Linked DNA regions of Notamacropus eugenii. The protein of the gene in region 2 interacts with the protein of the main gene of each other region in a biochemical or structural test. Links are inferred from orthologs where the notes say so. Each region holds a gene or a part of one and is shown on either strand. Other genes may lie near its edges.

What was found.
Region 1: of the proteins of AKT1 (region 2) and RICTOR, one has a biochemical effect on the other in vitro, tested with the Homo sapiens proteins (7 studies listed by BioGRID, with this or other methods). The link is inferred for Notamacropus eugenii from reciprocal best matches to the Homo sapiens genes AKT1 and RICTOR.

What each region holds. Positions count from the first base shown.
Region 1 is NC_092875.1:421,422,878-421,432,574, reverse strand, and holds the start of RICTOR (rapamycin-insensitive companion of mTOR), read right to left. Parts: upstream 4,082-9,697; 5' UTR 3,790-4,081; coding exon 3,741-3,789; intron 3,560-3,740; coding exon 3,512-3,559; intron 3,417-3,511; exon of another isoform or gene 1-3,416. UniProt on the Homo sapiens protein: Component of the mechanistic target of rapamycin complex 2 (mTORC2), which transduces signals from growth factors to pathways involved in proliferation, cytoskeletal organization, lipogenesis and anabolic output.
Region 2 is NC_092872.1:346,209,141-346,219,126, forward strand, and holds the start of AKT1 (RAC-alpha serine/threonine-protein kinase), read left to right. Parts: upstream 1-6,188; 5' UTR 6,189-6,309; intron 6,310-7,211; exon of another isoform or gene 7,212-7,320; intron 7,321-9,986. UniProt on the Homo sapiens protein: AKT1 is one of 3 closely related serine/threonine-protein kinases (AKT1, AKT2 and AKT3) called the AKT kinase, and which regulate many processes including metabolism, proliferation, cell survival, growth and angiogenesis.

The DNA of each region.
Region 1 (9,697 bases), on a different chromosome or scaffold from region 2:
ATTTCCAAGGGTCAAACAGCCAGTATGGGTCAGAGGCAGGATTTGAACCTATCCTCTATCCACTATGCAAAGCAGCCTCCTAAATAACAGAAAGTAATGTTACAATTTGGACTGATCTCAACTCAATCAATCAACAGACATTTAGTGAAAGTTGGCTCTATGTAATTAACATTATTACTATGTCAGAAGCACTATACTAGCTACTGGGGAAAGTAGTAGACAAAATAAAGACGTTTTCTGACCTCTTAAATAGTTAAGACAATATTTGAATGAACTGCAAAACAAAAAAATCCCTTTCTCCTCTAAGTACTATTCACTTATTACTTTTCACATGCATCTTTAGTGTACACAAATTACTTTTTTCCTATCATATTCAAGGGGTGTATTACAGATACCCATATATGACAGCACACCTAGTGGAAGGGCAACTAGGTAGTGAAGTGGATAGAGTGCTGGGCCTGGAGTCAGGGAGACATCTTCCTGAGTTCAAATCCAGCTTCAGATATTTGCTAGATACTGGGCAGGTAACTTAACCCTGTTTGCCTCAGTTTCTTCATCTGTAAAATGAGCTGGAGAAGGAAATGTCACACCATTCTGCTATTCTTGCCAAGAAAAACCAAAATGAGGTCACAAAGAGTTGGAAACAACAGAACAATTAACACATAGTGAAAAGAAAGAACTTAGAATCAGAAAAAGCTGAGTTCAAATCTACCTCAGACCCTTACTAGCCGTGCGACCATAGTAAAGTAACTTATCCTTTCTAAGTCTGTTTCCTCACCTGTAAAATGGGGATGATAATAACTATAGTTAGCACTTATCCTACGGGATTCAAATGAAATGTGTGTAAATCACTTTACAAACTTTAAAGAACAATAGACCTATCAGCTTATTTTCATATCTAACTGGTTTTGAAAAAAATCTCATATTAATAACGTAATTTCTTCATGTTAGGTATATAATAATTCAGATTCTTCCCCTTCTCTCTTTTAGTTTTGTTTACATAATTCTCATTTTATGTAACAGAGCTAAGATTTATACATATCATATTAACCAAAGCCTCTATTTTACAGAAATAAATGATTTCACGTAAAATACATAAATAACTGAAATTACAGCAAAATTACTAGAGCATTTAAAATGCTGGCACCCCAACCTGATTTTACACAAGACAATCCATTTCACATACATCTGATTCATCCACCCAGACTGCCCTACTATTCTGTTGACTTAGAAAAGGATTCAGGGTCACTACTAAAATGTAATTCCTAACTTTCTTCAGATTGGGTCCACAAATCCTCTTTGCCCAATGAAACAATTACAGTTCTACCCCAGTAATTTTCTGACTTACAGTTTAAAAAATATTTTCACTACGAAAGTGCCAATAAATCTTACAGACCTATTCAAGCAAAACTCCTCTGTAATATAGAATGTTATATTCTCACATCTTATACACTGCTTTTTAAAAATTATTTTCCATTTATTCCCATGTTTAGATTTTGTTATAACTGGACTATATAAAGTTCTCTAGGAGACAAAAACTATCTACTACTTACTTTGAATTATCCCTAAAACAGAATAACTGTGCAAACCACAGGATGCTGACTGCTTCACTACCCATTTTGGCTCTTTGGCCCATCTTTCCATTTCCCACATCCTTCCCTTTTACCTCCTCTCCCCACTTTTCAGCTTTTCCTTATACTTTGTCTTCCTCCCATTAGAATATAAGCTCCTTGAGGACAGGGGATAACTTTCTTTTCATTTATTATATTTGCATTTCCAGCTCTTAGCATGTCCTGGCATATATTAAGCACTTAATAAATGTTTGCTAAGTTGACACAACAACAGGCATTTAATAAATGCTTGCTGGAAAAAACATATGTGAAGTTTAAAAACCAAGGTCTGCTACATAAGAAGGCAAATCTCAGTAAACCAAGCTTACCTGAAATCAAATTTGAACATTCAATTATCAGGTCACCAGTAGTTTAGCCATACACCAAAGATTTGTTCATCAACTATACATACACGATCTCAGTTAACCCACTATGATAAATTACTAAGCCAATTTAAAAGCACGAATTCCATTTGGAGTTAGCCTAATTATCTCTTTTAAAAAAACTGCTCAGATATAAATCAAATCACTAATCAACTACATGCATAAAAGACTAGCATGCTAAGTTTCAGTTTTCTGGGAACTAGATTTATTTTGGTAGAGAAGCTCTGAAGATGGAAGTGACAAACAACACTTTTTTGATTATGTATTTTCCCAGTTATTGCAACTCAAAACATCATATACTTTCCTTACATTCAGAAGACAAAAAGTTTTATAGCAATTATAATGTCCAAGATTTTACTAAAGAGTATCATTTTTCCACTTAGGCGGTGAATTAACTGCTGCTTCTAACACTTAAAAGACTAAATCGTTTTACTTCAAAAATTGTTTTATTTGAAAATAATCCAAATCCTTAGACTCAAAGAATAAACCATTACCTATAAGATAGTTCTATTGTATCTGGACAGCTACATAAGAGCTCAACCTTCCTATCATTCACAACTAACAAGATTTGAAAGAATACTAAAAATACTGAAAACTGTTACACTTACTAGCCTGTGAAGTCAGAAGTAGCCTCAATGGGCAACCTGTAATAACTGAACTCTACGGAATCTACTTTAGATTTTTCTCAATTCTGAAATTGGGACTAAACGAGTGTCTTGAGAGAGTTACGCAGAATTTAAAGTTCAAAGGTTTTTTCCGGCTTCTCGACAGTAAACAAAGCAGACCTCACTGGAGGAGAAGTCTACGTGAAACTGGTGCTACCCTGAGAAGATCGCCTCCCCGATCGCCCGACGCTAGGCAGCGGGGACGCATTCCGACACAGCCGCCGATGGAAGGAATGTCGGGCAAGGGGAGGTCTTTTCAAAATAGAGCTGAGGTTTCTCAGCAGTTCAGACGGCGTAAACAAACCTTCCAGGCTGCAGCCGACGGTAAACAATGAACCTGCAGCGGGTGAGGGGGCGGGCTCTGCCAGCCACCCTCCCGGCGGCTGGACCAGACACCTCGCAGGCAGCAGCCGCACACAAACCTATCGATCCCTCGTTTCCCCCGAGGTGGTGAATAAAGAGCGATCCTGCGTGCTGCGGGGGGTGGGGAGGGGGAAGACGGCAGGATGTGGTCGATCTTCCCCGAGACATCCTCTCGCAACCTAAATAACAGCTTCTTCCCCCCCCTCCCCAGGCCGCCCCCAGGATTGAGGGGCGCAGAGCTGCGGGACAAAGTACATCCTTTCCCCCTTCCGAGTGCCCTGGAGCTGGTCTCCCCCGCTCGCTGCCGCCCACCCGGGGCAGGGGCAGGCGGGGAAGCCGGGACGAGGGAGAGAAGGGGGATGGTTCCCGCAGGGCAGTCCCAGGGCCCGCGGTTCGGACCCAGCACCTCGCCCCTCCCCCCCCCCCCCCCCCCGGGCCCAAGCCCAGGGGCCGCGCGGGCCCGCCCCAGCCGCCGCCCGCCGCTAGTTACCTCGGGTGAGATCCAGCGGGACGTTCTCCTCGCCGCTGTCATTCCGCCCTGCGCGAAACACAGAGAGACCCAGTTAGGACTCGCAGGCCGGCGGCGGCCCCGGCCACAGCCGGAGCCCCGGGCGCAGGCCCCACGCCCGCCCCGCGAGCCCGGGGGGTGGGAGGGGGGGAGGCGGCCCCGAGAGGGGGGGCGCCCGGAGCGGAGGGGAGAGGGCTAGCGGAGGGGTTACCTCGTATCCTGAGGTGCTTCAGCGAGCGGCCGCGGACACTCGCCGCCATGTTGACGGGCTTCAGTCACAACACCGGAAACCTCGCCCAATCGCGCGAGAGCCCCCTTCCCCTCTCCCCCGCCCTCCGCTTCCTTTCCTCCTCCCCTCCCCGCCCTGCGCTCGCCTGGCCTAGCCTCCGCATCCTCGCTCCTCCCCCTCTTCCCTTTCTTATCGCGAGCCAGGCCGGGGCGGGGGCGGGGCGCGGGGCCCAGAGCGGGAAGCCCGGGGCTGGCGGGCGCGCGTGCCTGCGGCGGAGGCGGCGAGGCTGGCCTTAGCAAGACGCCCCCCAGCCCCCTCCCCTGCAGACGAGCGCGTGGCCGCGGGGTGCCCCGCGAGGACCCCTCCCCCACCTCCGCTCCGAGTTCCGAAGGGGAATTCCCCCGGGAGGCTCGCGGGGTGGGCCCCGGCCGGCCGCTTCGTGGCGCGGGGCGAGGCCGCCCACCCGTGCCCGCGTGTTGTGCCTAAGCTGCCCCGTGCTTTGTATTTGTCCGCGAAGAATTTCCTCGCTTCCTTCACGCCACGCCCACCCTCCTGTAAAACACTCTCCTCCCCCCCCCCCTCGTTTTTTCCACTAACTTGAGATTCTGCCGAAGAAAATTGGCTTCATGGGGGGCGGGGGGGGCCTAGCGGAAAGCGGGGTTCACCTGCCGAGCTGGAGCCCCTCGTGTAGTGAGCGCAGTGAGACGTTGGGACGTGCGTGACCCTCGAGGGCAACCCCGCGTGGCACTGCGGAGGACCGGCGAAGACGAGGACTCCATTAGGTAACCTTCGTGCCCACGATGCCCTCCGCGGCTTGTTCGTCCCCTCTAAGTGGTGGACACGTAATTCGTGTTGTTTGCCCGGATCCCGTAACTTGGAGGCTTGTTGGCTAGATGTCATGCCGGGAAGAAGACTTTTAGCTGAGAATGTCAGGAATATAAAGCTTGTCCAGACTTTTTATGCAGCCGTGGAGAATTGGGAGAAAGAACTGCAGTTTTAGGTTGTTTTTTTTTTTTTTTAATTCTCTGGTCTTAATATTATTTCCCTTGAGATGAGCCTAATGTTGGCGATACCATAATGGCCAGCGTCCAAGGGGATGTAAGACTTAATATGGTGTATCGGAAAGGTGGACATCCAAAAACATCCCCTGCTTACAATGCTGTATCAGTTCCAGGATTTGCATAATAAGTATTTAATTTAATTAGTAGTAAGTATTCCTAGAACTCTACCTGCTGCAGTAGCAGAGGGAGGTAGAGGAGGGAGCTGGAAAGTCTGCCCATACTTCCCCTCCTCAGTCCTCGCAACTCTACTGAAATTAGATTGTGGTTACTTTGTATATATTTTCTGTTTACTCATGTATTAGGAGAATTGTACAATGAAGGCCTAGTCTTTAGAACGTAGGCTCTGCCTCTATGGAAGCTTAGTGAGCCGAAATCAATCGCTGAGCAGTTTAAAGTACCAGCTATGTGCCAGGCATGGTGCTAAGCCGGGGAGATACAAAGAAAGGCCCAAGACAGTTCCTTACTCTTGAGGTGCTCGCAGTATTATGGGGGAAGACAACATGCAAACAACCTCCCAAGTCATCTCTCTCTCCTCTCTCTCTCTCTCTCTCTCTCTCTCTCTCTCTCTCTCTCTCTCTCTCTCTCTCTCTCTCTCTGTGGATTTGTGTATGTATATATACAGAAATCAATTGGAAATAATTGGAATATAAATCATAAAATAATTGGATAATCAACAGAGATAAGTCACTGGAATTAAGAAGGATTGTGAAAGGCTTCCTGGGATTTTAACTGCGACTTGAAGGAAGGCAGGAGGCAGAGGTGAGGAGAGAGGGAATGCATAATAAAGGAACCTTTTTTCTCTCTGCTCACATCTGTACCCCATCTCCCCCATCCTCAAAAAACTGTCACTTGATGCATCCATCCTCACTAGCTATTATCCTGTGTCTCTCCTTTTTGTAGCTAAACTCCTTGAGTAGGCAAACTGTCTACTGCAGGTGACTCCCAGTCCTTTTTTCTTTTAACTCTTTGTAGTCTGGATTCTGACTTCACCATTCAAGTGAGAGTGCAGTTTTAGTTCATTCAACTGAAATTCCTGTCTCCAAAGTTACTAGTGATCTCTTAGTTGTCAAATGTAATGGCCTTTTTCTCAAACCTCATTCTTCTTGACCTCTCTGCAACCTTTGACACTGTCTCTCACCTTCCACTTAATGCTGTCTTCTTTCCAGGTTTTTGTGACACTGCTTTCTTCTGGTTCTCCTGCATATCTAAACCCTTTCTCTGCTTCCTTTGCTCCCTACCTGGAGCTCTCTCACTCCTCATTGCTGCCTTTTGGCGTTCCTAGTTCTTTCAAATCTGAGCTAAAGTCCCACCTTCTTAGAGGAGCTTTTCTCAATCCTTAATATTGAGTCTTTCCCTCTAAAAATTATCTCAATTTGTTTTGTATATCACTGGTTTGGACAGAGTTCTTAACACAATGTCTCATTGAAAGCAGGGACTATCTTTAACCTTTCTCTTTAACTTTACCCCCAGCACTTAGCCCAGTACCTTACACATAGTAGATACTTAATAAATGCTAGTTGAGTAATTGATTGGCTTTAGAGCAGTCCCTGATATTTTCTTTTTCCTGTCTTCTTATGCATGATGGTAAAAAGGCTTTAATTGGCTACTGAGCTGGAATTGAGAGTGCATATGAAAGCAAGGAACAGACCAGTTCTCACTCTCTTCCCAGGTGGCCACTGAGAAGCTGGAATTGCTGTGGGCTTCTGGTTAGGATAGCAGCCTCACTCCCTGATTTGGCTGTGAACACATGTTGCTGTTTCTTCTGTCTTAGCCATATTTCTTTTTTCCTAACTTTAGGTGACTGAATATCAAAGATAGAGTGGAAAAAGGTATGACCTTGTGAGCTTTTAAAATCAGAACCATCAAGTTGGTTACAGTCTTGCTGTTGGAGTACCTAATCTGTGAGGAGCCAACTCTGAAGAGGTACCAGCTTAACCCAATGAATTAATCAATCTGGCATGAGAGACACCACATCCTTCAAGCTAGGAAGCAAGTCATCCTTCTGCTACACCATACCTAGAAGTTGTTGTTGTTGTGTTTATAGTTTGTTCTTGAGGAGGACAGTGACATCAGGATGATGACATGACTTGTAGTTGACTTTGATTTGAGGGAGGGAGGGCTGTGCAAGGTCACCAACCTCACTTACTCACAACCTTACTTCTCCTGAGCCATCTGTGTCCAGTAAATTTGATGGAAGGAATATTTTGTAACAATCACTTTTAGGTTTAGAACTGGAGTAATAGTGAAGAGTGTACTCCCATTTTGGGTTGTGCTTAGGTCCTTGACCTATATTCTTTGAAAATATCCCTTGTAACACCAGTTAATGATAATGAGGGTGTTAATTAGCTACTGATATTGGATAAAACACACCAGATAGAGGTTCATAAGCAACAGTACTAGAGGAAGGCACTCAGCCCTCAGTGTTAGCTATGCAGCGGAGAAACTAATTGCCAAGGCCATGAGGGTTCAGAAACTGAGCCCAAAGACATAGGTTCATCTTTCATGTTCATCCTTGCCTTCTTTTTCCCCCTTCCCTCTTATTATAGAGTGTAAGTTTCTCAAGGACATGAACTGTAATTTTTTTTTTTTATTTTTGTTTCTCCAGTGTAAGTATAGGGCTTGGCAAGTAGTAAGAGGTTTAAATATATTATGCACACATATGTATATCCATACTGTGATGGGACAAGCATTTTTCTGAAGTAAATTCCTTTGACTCCAGTTTACCTGATGCAGCTTCCTTGCCTTCCACTCCCCTTCCCCTTATAGCCAACATAAGATAGAGCTAGGACCAAGCTAATTCTGGGGTCTAATATCTCTTCTCTTACCTCCCCTTCCATAATGCAGCTTTTTAAGGGCATAAAAACCCCTATCCTTACTGCATTTTCTTGCTATTTTAGGGCAAAGTAAACCTCTTGTTAAATGTCCAGTGACTTGTCCATGCTTCCTTTTATCAAACCTGGACTAAGAGTGGAGTGACTCATACATTTAATGTAGTTTTGGCAGATCAGGATTAGATGAAAAGGCTTCATGGCTCAAATAGTGTTTGAGTTGGGGGAAGAACCCTGAAATGTGGAGGAGGAGGGTCACGTGATCAGATGGCAGGACATTCCCTGACTCCCTCTTGACAGAGCTCTCCTGATTGTCTATGGAGAGTCCTCTCTGTGGGTAGAGGAATTAGATTATTGGATACTGGAGAAGGCTGCTGACAGGGTAAAGAAAATGTCAAGACCAGCACTCCCTGGATGTTGTTGACTGCTCTAAGTAAGTTGGATTGTGAGTGCAGTCAAATAGAGTAAAATGGCCTGGTACATTCAGCAGCAGCTAAAAACAGAACTCTCAGCTTTCAGGGACCATGCAATGAAAGTCAAGAGACAGCTAATACAACTAGTGACTGCACATGTGAAGAGATCTCTCTCAAGGGGTACTGAGGGTTTCCTGCAAAGAATCAACCCTATGATCTCTGATCTAAAGGTTCAGGTTCCTGCTGATTGGAGCCATGGGACTAGAGGAGAGCAGACTTGGGGCAGAGGCTGGGGCACTCCCACCCAGGGTAAGGAAGGTTCAGGCTTATCTTGTCACTACTCATAGGAGGGCAGGCAGGTAGTGCAGCTTATAGAGCACCAACCTTGGAGTCAGGTGGACCTGTATTCAAATTCTACCTCAGACACTTACTAGTTGTGTGATGACGCTGTTTGCCTCATTTTCTTCATTTGTAAAATTAGCTGGAGAAAAAAATGGCAAACCACTCCAGTAATTTTGCCAAGGAATACCCTAAATGGAATCACAAACATTTGGACACAACTGAAAGAATTTAACAACTCTTAGGAGGAGGATAGTGACTTCCTATCTTGAAGGCTCAGGAGATGGGTCCCTGTTCAGTGGGAGAGGGTTCAGTTGCTTTCTGGGGATTTTCAAACAGAAACTTGAGGAGTCCCTAGGTGTGTTCTAATGGAACCTACATCAAGAGCCTCTCTGCTGTGGACTTTCCATAGCCTCAGATAATTCTCTGAACTCTTATTTTAAAGCGTGAACTACATTTGCTTTTAAAAGAAATATATTGTTTCTTTTTAGATGGCTGATAAGATTATTCACACCTGGCCTTATAAAGATGGCAGCCAGCTCACAGTTGGGGATCTACAAGGGAGTTGGTGATATTCCTAAATGAAATGGATTTAATAAATTGGATTTATGCATTCCCCTAAGCCCAAGCGTTCTGTGTAGAGCTCTGCCCAAATAGTTTCTGACTTTAGCTAGGTTCTCCTCCACCACGCAACCATACAGGTGTGGGTTGATCAATTATTGAAATCTAAGCAGGAGCTCTGGATAGATGTGACTTGGGCAAATATTTTTGTCCATGCAAAAAGATACTCTAAGATTTGAGGGAGAAGTCTCAACCCAACACTGCCATGCTAGGTGGTCAGAGACCAATTCACCATTCTCAGGAGGGGCGTTTAGGTGTGGCTACTGAAACTTCAGGTTGATAAAGCAATTGATGACCAGGCCTTTGAGGCCCAGTAAATTTAAGTTCCAGGGCTCTAGAGGCCCTTTAGTCTTACCCAAGCCTGAGGTATTATCTAAGGCAGGGCTTCTTAAACTTTTTCCACTCACCACCCTTTTTTGCTGAGAAATTTTTGTGACCTGGGTATACAGATACATAAAATAGTTATACAAATCAAGCATTTACTGATCAGAAATCATAAAGAAATTTATTTTAAAACAATTCTTTGGTTTACATGTAATTTTACCATTTATTAAAGATGAAAGCAGATTTGCCTACTAAGGAGATGCATGTGCTTATTTAATTTTACATAAAAAATTAAATCTTAGTGGAGTATTTGATACTGAAGGACATGAAACATCTTCAGAATTTTTCAGAGT
Region 2 (9,986 bases):
TAACAGAGTCTGTCCCGAAGGAGCTCATCTTCTATTAGAAGCTATAACCTTGTAAATAGGTAAGTAAATACATGAGAGTTTGAAGAGGGAGAGAACATTTACTTCTAGGGAGATACAAAAGGCTTCCTGTAGGAGGAGGTCAGGTTAGGTACAGTACATAGAGCGCTAGGTCTGCAGTCAGGAAGACTCCTCTTCCTGAGTTCAAATCTGTTTTCAGACTCTAGCTGTGTTACCTTCTGCAAGTCACTTAACCCTGTTTGTCTCAGTTTCCTCATCTGGCAAATCAGCTGGAGAAGGAAATGGCAAACCACTCCAATATCTTTGCCAAGAAACTCCAAATGGGGTCAGAAAGAGTCAAATAACAAAAAAGAAGAGGTGGTTTATTCAACATTGCTCTCTCCTTCTGCCTTTACCCCTCTGGGAGGGAGCCCACTCTCAGATCTGACCAGTCAGAGAAAGTGAGGGAATTAGGTACTATCCAGTAGGCAGTGGATAGAGGTCAAAGGTGGGCCATGGGATTTGAGGGGGGAGATGATGAAAAGCTGGAGTCAAAAGAACCAATTTCTTCAGACATCCTCCCCTTTGCTTTCTCCAGACAGGCAGCTCACTATGCCCAAAGCCTTAGCTCCTGAAGACCACAGGGATTGTGGAGATATGGTGGCAATAGTATTGGATTTGAAGTCATAGGGAATAGATTCCAATTCCAGTTCTGGTCCTTTGGTGAGCTTGAATAGATCTCTCTAGGTCTTAGTTTCTTCTTCCATAAAACAGGGACTGTAGTATGCTCTACCTTACAGGGTCATTGTGGGGCTTAAATGAGAAGGTAATATATAAAAATATATTGTGGAAAGTGCTAAACTTGGCAACTAATGTGACTTTGGGTAAGTCCATGCCCTTCTCCGAATCTATTTCCCCATCTGTAAAATGACGAGGTTATCTCTAAAGTTCCTTCCAACTCTAAATCTTGTGACCTATGACCGTGACTGTTTGATTTCTGGTGTTTAATTGCTGGACTTCACCCAAGTACAGCTACTGAATTACAAACACAGTTTATTTTGTTTGTTTTTGTGGAGGCTTGGGATAATTAAAAAAAATTTTGTCAGAATTCAAGATGTTCACAAATTCCCTTCTGGGTCCTAGAGAGACAGTGTTCTCAAGCTCTGCCCCCCTCCCCTCGACTATGGTCAAGGCCTTGACTCTGCCCTGCCCTTGATATGGGGCTGTGGGGCTGTGGGGAGCTGTTGCCTGATTGTTTACTCAGGAAGGCTGATAGTCACAGGTCCAGAGCAAAGTGTAAATCAGATTTGGGCCCCAAGTATCAGGGTCCAGCTGGGAGGGATGGCCAGATGTTGTTGTAAGGTCTTATTCTAGACAACTCAAGTTAGAGTGAGAGAAATAAGAAAGGAATGGAAAAAGTTGCCAATTTTATCCCAAAAGATTTTTGCTAGACCCTCAGGACCATTTTAGGCTTAGAACAGGTATATGGTGTAAGATACCAGTAGAAGTGTAATAGAAGTGTAATTCTTGCCAAAACTGCTTTTGAGTTTCCCCAGTAAGTTCTTGTCAAATCGGAATTCATATTCCCTTCCATTCACCCCCAACCCCCAACCCATTGCTGTGTTTAGCATATTCAGGCCAAGAGAAGGGAGTTATGTCAGTCCAGGCTGTGATGTGAAAGCACTGACCAAGAAACTGGGGTTTTAGTCTTGACTTTGTCATTAAATCACTGTATGACCTTCGATATGTCACTGGCCCTCTCTGGGTTTCCCCATTTGCAAAATAACAGGCTTGAACTAAGAATCCTTTTCAACTCATATTTTATACTATAATGACCTACTCAGTTTTGTGATTCTTTAGTCTAAGGTCCCTTCCAGCTCTAAGTCTATGGTCTAAGATCCATGTTTGATAGTATATGAGTCTATGGAGGATTCTGGTCTATTAGAGTATTTTGAGGGTCTCAGGACCCCTATCCCTATCCATTCTAAAACATCTCACCCATGTGCTTGCTATAGAGTCTGAAACTGTGAGATTAGAGCTCGCTTCTTTCATTCATTCAGCAAACATCACCTGAGTCTTTCAGTTCCTCTCTCCCAATTGTGTACCCATTCCTGGATTTCACTTACCGAGAATTAGGAAGAAGGGCAGAACCTGGCTCTATTCTTGGGGAACTCACAGTGGGTAAAGGATGCAGAGAAGGATAAGATCTTCCCTCAGGGAACTTGGAATTAAGAAGGAAGAAAAGGACGTGTGTATGATAACTTGAAACCAAGACCGAATGTGAGTAGGGCCACAATAAAATGATAACTTATGTTTTTAGAGTGCTTTAGAGTTTACAAAGCATTTCCTCACCACCCACTTGTGAAATTGGTTGTACCAGTATTATCATGCCCATTTTGTTATTGTTGTTTGACCTTTTACTCTAGGATTTTACAGATAAGGATGCTGACATCCAAAGTTGAAGGGGCTTTCCCTGAAGCTGTAAGCGGTGCTTTCTTTCATATAAGAATACTGCACCCATTTAACTCTAAGGTTTTAAGGAGGGTGACATTACTTCTAATTGGAGGATCCTGTAAATCAGTGGGTAAATAGGTCTCCATTTAAGACAATTCCGTTCATAATGTACCTTTCAAGAATGTACAAATTCAATGAAGATATATTCTGTGCCTACAATACACAAGGCATCTACTGTGTATCAAGTGCTGTGCTATGCACCTGGGACATAAAGGAGAAAAGACAACAGTCTTTACTCTAAAGGAATTTTTATTCTATTGGGAAAACAACACATGCACATTGAAGCCAATACAAAATAGCAGCTGGGGTTATAGGAAAAGTCTCATGTAGGAGGTTCCACATGACTAGAACTTCAAAAGAAACTAAGGATTGTAAGAAGTGAGGTGGGGCTGCATTCCCAGGATGGAATAACAATAATAATAAAAACTAATTTTATATAGTGCTTGGGCAGCTAGGTGACCCAGTGGATAGAGTGCTGGGCCTGAAGTCACAAAGATTCCTCTTCCTGAGTCCAAATCTGGCTTTAGCTGTGTGACCCTGGGCAAGTCACTTCACCCTGTTTGCCTCAGTTTCCTCATCTGTAAAATAAGCTGGAGAAAGAAATAGCAAACCATTTTAATATCTTTGTCAAGAAAACCCCAAATGACATCAGGAAGAGTTGAACTTGACTGAAATTATTGAGTGCTTACTATATGCCAGGCAGTGTGGTAAGTGAGTTACATTTATCATCTCATCTGATCCTCACAGCAACCCTGGGAGATACACTATTATTATAATATCCATTTCTATGGATGAGGGAACTGAGGTAAATGTTAGTGTATGACTCCAACTCAAGTCTTTCGGATTTCAGGCCTAGCACTCTCTCCACTTCAAGGAGATGGGAAATGGAATGTTGTGTACCAGGCATAGTAAGTAAGCCTGTTTAGCTGTTTCAGTTTCCTGTGTATCCCCCCTATCCGCTAAGAACCTTGCTTTTTATTTCACTGAATGAATGAAGTCTTTCCTCAGAAGCTATTTCTCCAGACATTTGCACCCACTGCCTCTTCCCTCACCTCAGCCACACGTGAAGAGATGGCCCCTTCTCCCTCTCTATCCCATTTTTTTTCTCCAGCAGATTTTCTCCATCATCCATACTCCCTATCTAATCTTCAATCTTTCTCCATCTACTGACAACTTTCCCAATGCTTACAAACACACCCGTCTTTCTTCCATCCTCAAAAGTCTCTCATTTAATCCATCCCTCCCCATTAATAATCATTCTGTCTCTTCCCTTCCCTGGCTAACCTCCTTGAGAAGGTTCACTACAATGGATGCCTCCATTTCCTTTCCTCTCACTTTCTTCTTCTTCTTTTTTTTAAAGAAGTCGTGATTATTTAAATAGTTGGCAAAAACAAAACAAAAAAAGCAAAAGCAAACAAGTTTATGGATCTCAAGTTAAGAAAACCTGCTTGAGACACATTTTATTCTCATCACATCCCTCTCCTAAAGAGCAGGAGACCTTTAAGAGAACAGGAGTCGTGTCTTATCTAAACTTTGTTTCTTCTATTTCTAGTGTAGTGCTCAATAAATATGTATTTCTTTAAAACTTATTTATTAGAATTCATTTTTTAAAACTGAATTCCAAATTTGGTCCCTCCCACCTTTCCCCCCCTCCCTCTTAAGAAGGCAAAAAATGCAATATCAATCATACATGTCTCACTTTCTTCTCAACTCTCTGCAGTCTGGCTCAACCAAAATGCCTTTCTCCAAAGTTACCAATGATCTCTTAATTGACAAATGTAACAATCTTCATGCTTCATGACTTCTCTGATGCGTTTGACACTGGCTTTCACCCTCTTTTCCTGGATATTCTCCTCTCTCTAGGTTTTCATGACAAGTCTCTTTCCTGGTTCTCCTCCCACCTGACTGATTGATCCTTTTTCATAGCTTCTAGTTAGTAGCACTCAGTTAGAAATTACCATGAATTGTTTTGTCTTTCATGGATAAGTCTCTTCCTCACCCTTAGACTGTGAGTTCTCCTGAGGACAAGGTCTGCCCAAGATTATTCCTTTTCCGTCTCCCCTATATATCTGAACTGAACATAGTACCAGCATCCAGGGGCTTAGGTCATATCCTTCTCTCCAGTGAAAGGGCAGAAGACAGAAAAGACTGGTCCAGGGGTCCACTGCCTTGTTCCTGAGTCTCCTTTCCCCCCTGCCTAAACCTTAGGTTCAGTCCTTGGTGTCAGTTTAGTCTCATAGCTCAGGGGTCCAATGGTGTTGGCTCCATTAGCTAGCCAAATAAGTTCTCTCCCAGTCTTCTTTTTCTGGAGCATCTTGCTTATAATAGAAATTCTTACTCTGGCTAGGCTGGGTCATTCTCAGAGCCAGGTCGAGCAGGGACTTTCTTAGAATGGGTAATAGACCTGTATGTCAATTTTATCTTCACCCTCATCAATCTGGAAGTGCCATGAATCAGACGTAGGGAATTCTGCATTTCCCAGCTTTTTGCCAAAACATTCCGGTCCTGGTGTGGGTGGGGAAACTGTATAATTATTCTCCTTCCCCTGGAAAACAAATGGTTTTCAAAGTCTAGCTTTGTTACTTATTACCTACGTGGCCCTGGGCAGGTCACTTAAACGCTGGGCCTCAGTTTCTTCACCTGCAAAATGGGGCTAATAATAGCAATGATCTCCTGGGACTGTCATGAGGATCCAATGAGATGATTGATTACAAAGCGTCTGGCCACAGCAGCAGCTATTTTATTACTTGTAAAAAGAGGGGGCTATCTAACAGAGGACCAGCAAGCTTCTTTTCAGTTCTAAATTCAAATCTAAAACAAACTTAGGGCTAAAAGCTGATGAAGATGGGAGTAGACAAGAGGAAGGAGTGGGCTTTACTCCTGTTTAACCTTTCAGACTCAGTTCCCTCATTTGTCAAATGAGGGGCTTGGGCTGGATAATGGCCAAGGTCACAGTCTGTGTTCCTAAGACCCCGTAAGGGGAGGAGGAAAAGGAGGAAGGGAGAGCGGGGAGAAGAGAGCGAAGAGGAAGGAGAAGAGGATGAAAAAGAGAAGGGAGACGAGGAGGAGGACGAGAAAGGGAAGGGGGAGGAGGGAAAAGAGGAAGAAGGAGGCGGGGAGGAGCCGGGCGGATGTTGGCTGCATAGTTGGGGGAGGGCGGGGAAAGGGGAGGGCGGGCGCGCTAGCCGGGGCGGTGTGTGTCTGTGTTTGTGAGTGTGTGAGTGTGGGGGAGCGTGTGTGCAGGGCAGCGTGAGCCCGGGGCGCCAGGGCGGAGGAGGAGCCGGACGCGCTGGAGGGATCCGGAGGCCCCGCGCCCGGACTCGCGCCCCCCCCTCGCCCGCCCGGGCCGCGGTAGCCCCAGCCCAGAGCGCTGCAGGCGGCCGGGGGGTGGCTCTCCGGGCCGCCCCTCCCTCCTGCCCTCCCCGGCCGGACCCTGCGCCCCCAGCGCGGCCCAGCCCCCGCCCGGCCCCGGATCCGGCGGGAGGAGGAGGAGGAGGAGGAGGAGGAGGGGGAGGGGGGAGGAGGGCAGGCTAGCCGGACTCGGCAGCTGTAACAGCGGCTGCCACAGCTGGATCCCCGGCCCGGCCAATCCCGGCTGCGGCGGCGGCGGCGGCGTCCGGGGCCCGGGAGGAGGGGAGGAGGGAGGGGAGGCGCCGCGCCCCCCGCCCCCAGCCCCCCGCCCCGGAGCGGACTGGCATGCGGAGCGGGAGGCGGCCCCGGCCCGGCTAGGCCCGCGCCCCGCCAGCGGCACAGACCCCCCCCTCCACCCGGGGCCTGGCCAGGCCCGGCTCTCCGCAGGTAAGCGCGCATCCCGGCCGAGCCGGCGGCCTGCGGGGTCGGGAAGCCCGTCCTCCTGCGCCCCAGGGCCGGGAGAGGGGGGGCGCATGGCGCGGGGGCGGGGGTCCGGCCTGGTGCGCCCGGGCGCAAGACCCGCGGCACGGCGCGGCCAGGGCGCGGGCGCTTTGTTCCACGGGGTTGCGCCCCGGGACGTGGCTTTTTGTGTTTCCTTTTGTGCAAAAAAAAAAAAAAAGGAAGCGGGGCCGGGCTGGCTGCCCTCCCGCCTCTGCCCGCCTCTCCTCCCCGACCTTCTCTCCTCTCCCCACCGCCGCCGTATCCTGCGATTAGCGAACAGGAAGCTGTTGGCCGCCCCAAGCCAGCCGGGCCCCGGAGCCCAGACCTGCGAGCGCAAGGCTCCTGGCGCCCTCGGCCCGCTGGCGGGGGGCGTGGCGGGGCGCGCCGGGGCTGGGGGCCGGGAGCGAGCCTGGGCCGGCCGGCGTGCCATCCCTCCCCTCCTCCCCCCGGGAAGGGACCCGGGGGCACACATCCTGAGGTGCCCACCTAGGGAGGCGTGGGGCTCCCGGGGAGCTGGGCCACACCGGATTAGCCACCCCAGGGGAGCCCCTGCCAGGGCTTGGGGAAGATTTGCTCCTCGAAATCCCCGGCATCAGACTTTGCTGGACAGCCCTGGGTGCTGGTCCCATCTCTCGTGTCTCTTCTGTGTGACCTTGGGCAAATCGATTCACTTGTCTAGGTCTGTAAAATTCAGTTCTGCAAATGTGAAGTGCCTGTTGTGGGCAGGACCCTGCGGTTGACACTTCGAATACAAAGAAGCCTGGCATGCCCTTCTCTCAGGAAGCTTGCAGTCTAACAGAGGGAAAAGACTTGTCTCCAAATAATTGATTCAAGAGAGAATATGACGGGGCTTTTCAGTCTAAAAGGCAGAAATTGGAAGAGGGAGAGATGACTTAGCTGAGGGGTGGAGAACGGCTTCATGGAGGGGACAGTAAACAGCTGGAATTAACTGTAGAGGTGAGATTCCTGGGTGGGTAAATTGGGGCTGGCCTCTGGTGGCCCTTGACTGGCAGGTCTTTATTTACTAGGCTGTGGGGAGAGGAGGATTCACCGCCTTGCCTCCTATTGTGAGGATTTAATGAGAGAATGGAAGGGAAAGTGCTTTGGAAGCTATAAAGCATCTTGTACCTGTGAGGAAGGATTATTTTTGTCGTTAATGTATTCACTTACAATATGACCTTTCCTCAGTAATTACCTTTCTCCACCTCAGTTTCCTCATCTATCAGCGGGGGGTAAATAGAGTCCATTATTATTATGTGGGGTGGAGGGGATAGGCTGGAAAGAGTGCTTGTTGAGGAATTAAGAAACTTGTTTTCAGCCCAGCTACCACCTTGGCCAGTCACAGCGCTCTGTGCCAGTTTCATTAGTTCTAAAAGAGGATCATCCTTTAGATTGTGAGAGCCATTGCTTGAAGTACTTTGAATGAAAGACTGCCAAGATCTGGGTTCTAATCCTGCCTCTTGACACATGCTCATTGTGTGATCACAAAGCCTAACTTCTCACTGCCTCAGGCAACTGTCTTCAACTGTAAGTTACCAAGGAGTTGCCAGGTTGCACACTGATGAGAAGGTTGGTTGTGTGGGTGTGTGTATTTGGGAAAGACATGAATAACTTGGTGGTTCTTAAGACACCTATCCTTTCTGAACTATTTCTTTTGCCATTCCAGCTGTTGTCGGTCTGTGAGCTTCATGAGGGACTCATTTAAGTTCATATCTCAGCACAGACCACAGGATTCTTTCCACGTAGCAAGTTTTTAATCCTTGTTGTTTGATTTTGAATTTATAAAGCCGCTAGTCTTTTGAGGGCAACTTTGGGGTCTGCACAGCTCCAGGGAAGAGTTGGGAGATTCTCAGTTTCTACTAATCTCTAGGTCCCATCAAGCTTGTTCTTGAAACCTGGAAAATTTCACACCTTCATCCTCACCCTTTGAATGGTCTTTAATGTGTTTAGGTTCACAAAGCACTTTCTTCACAACTGTGCTGTAAGCAGTCTAATTTTACAGATAAGAAAACTGAGGCCTAGAGAGGGGAAATGGTTTGTCCATGACCACAAGCTAGCAAGTGTGCTGTGCTGCCTTACTCTGCATTGAGTTTGTGTGTCTGGTTCTGTGCTCAGCTCTGACCAGGGGAGAGATCAGAAGGAGAGATGTGATCTGTGCGTCTGGGCATTCTGTCTGGAGACTGCCTTTGTAAACAATATATGATGCAAGATCATATGTAAAACGGGACTTCAGAACTAGTGCACTTGGTCAGGAAGGGAGAGGTCAGCACAAGTTGTAGTAGTCTAGAAGGGCTTCCTGGAGAAGGTAGGACTTAATAACAATAACTGCTAGCATTTATATATAGGGCTTTAAAGTTTGCAAGGCATCTTATAATAAATATACAGATGCTGGGCCTCTTGAGAGTTCGACCAGTGAGTGGGACAATGTTTGTTTCTAGTCCCTTGGTTTCCCCAAATGCTTTCCTACCTATTACTTCATTCAACTTTTACCGTAAGAGGGGGTGGGGCAGGCTTTATTATTTCCTTACCTTTTTACAGGTGAGGAAACAAGTCCACAGTGCTTGTGACTTGCCTAGGGTCGCATGGTGAGCTAGGTTCTGCCCAAAAGAGGCCTTCAGCTGTTTGGAGAGAATGCCTCTTGATTCTAGGGTGGCTCAGGGTGTAGACTAATTTTAAGGGAATAACTTTTTGGCGTGTTTGGATTTTGTGTCTCACCCCCCACCTCTGATGTCCATGCAATTATCTGCACTGGGTGAGACTTGAGTGTTTCTGGGTGGGGGAGTGCCTCTCCTTTTTCCCCTCCCCTTCCCGCAGGGAGCCAACGACAGGCCTTTGGTACAGTTTTTTTTCTCAGTCCTCTCCACCTCTCTTATAGCTTTTGAACACTGATCACCCTCTTTTTCTGGATTCAGTCTTAGTTTGTTTCCATCTTCTTTCCGACTCCATAATGTGGGTATCCTCTAAGGTGCAGTCCATAAAGTTTTCTTCTCCATAGTCTTACTTGGCAGGATCCTCTAATTTCGTTCAATAAACAACCCACTGTTTCTCAAATACAACACTCCATCTCTTTGTCTCAGCACTGGCTGCTCCCTACCTCCCTCCCCTTCCTCCCAAATGCCTGGAATGCTCTCCCTCCTCATTTCTGCCACATAGAATCCCCCTGGCTTCCTTTAAGACTCCACTCAAACACTACCTGCAAGAGGCCTTTCTCAATCCCCCAAAGTTGCTAGATCCTTCCTACTAAAGTTGTGTATCTTGTAGCTACTTATCTCTTTGCCTCTTTATTAGAACGTGAGTTCCTTTTGGGGCAGGGACAATTTTTGCCTCTCTTTGTATCTACTGTGTCATAGATTGAGGGCTTAATAATTCTTGTTGAATGACTGATCTTTTTTTTTTCAATGTTCAGAGTTTTTCTTTTATATCTTTTTTTATCACCTTCATTTCCAAATACATCCCTCTCTCCTATCCCTTGAGAATCAGCCCTTTGTAGCAATATTAACTGTTTTATCAACTGAGGCTGATAGTTATATGAAATGTACCACACCCATAATCTGCCACCACTGCAAAGATCAATAAACAGACACTTATTAAATGCCTACTCAGTACAGAGGCTTGTGCACAGT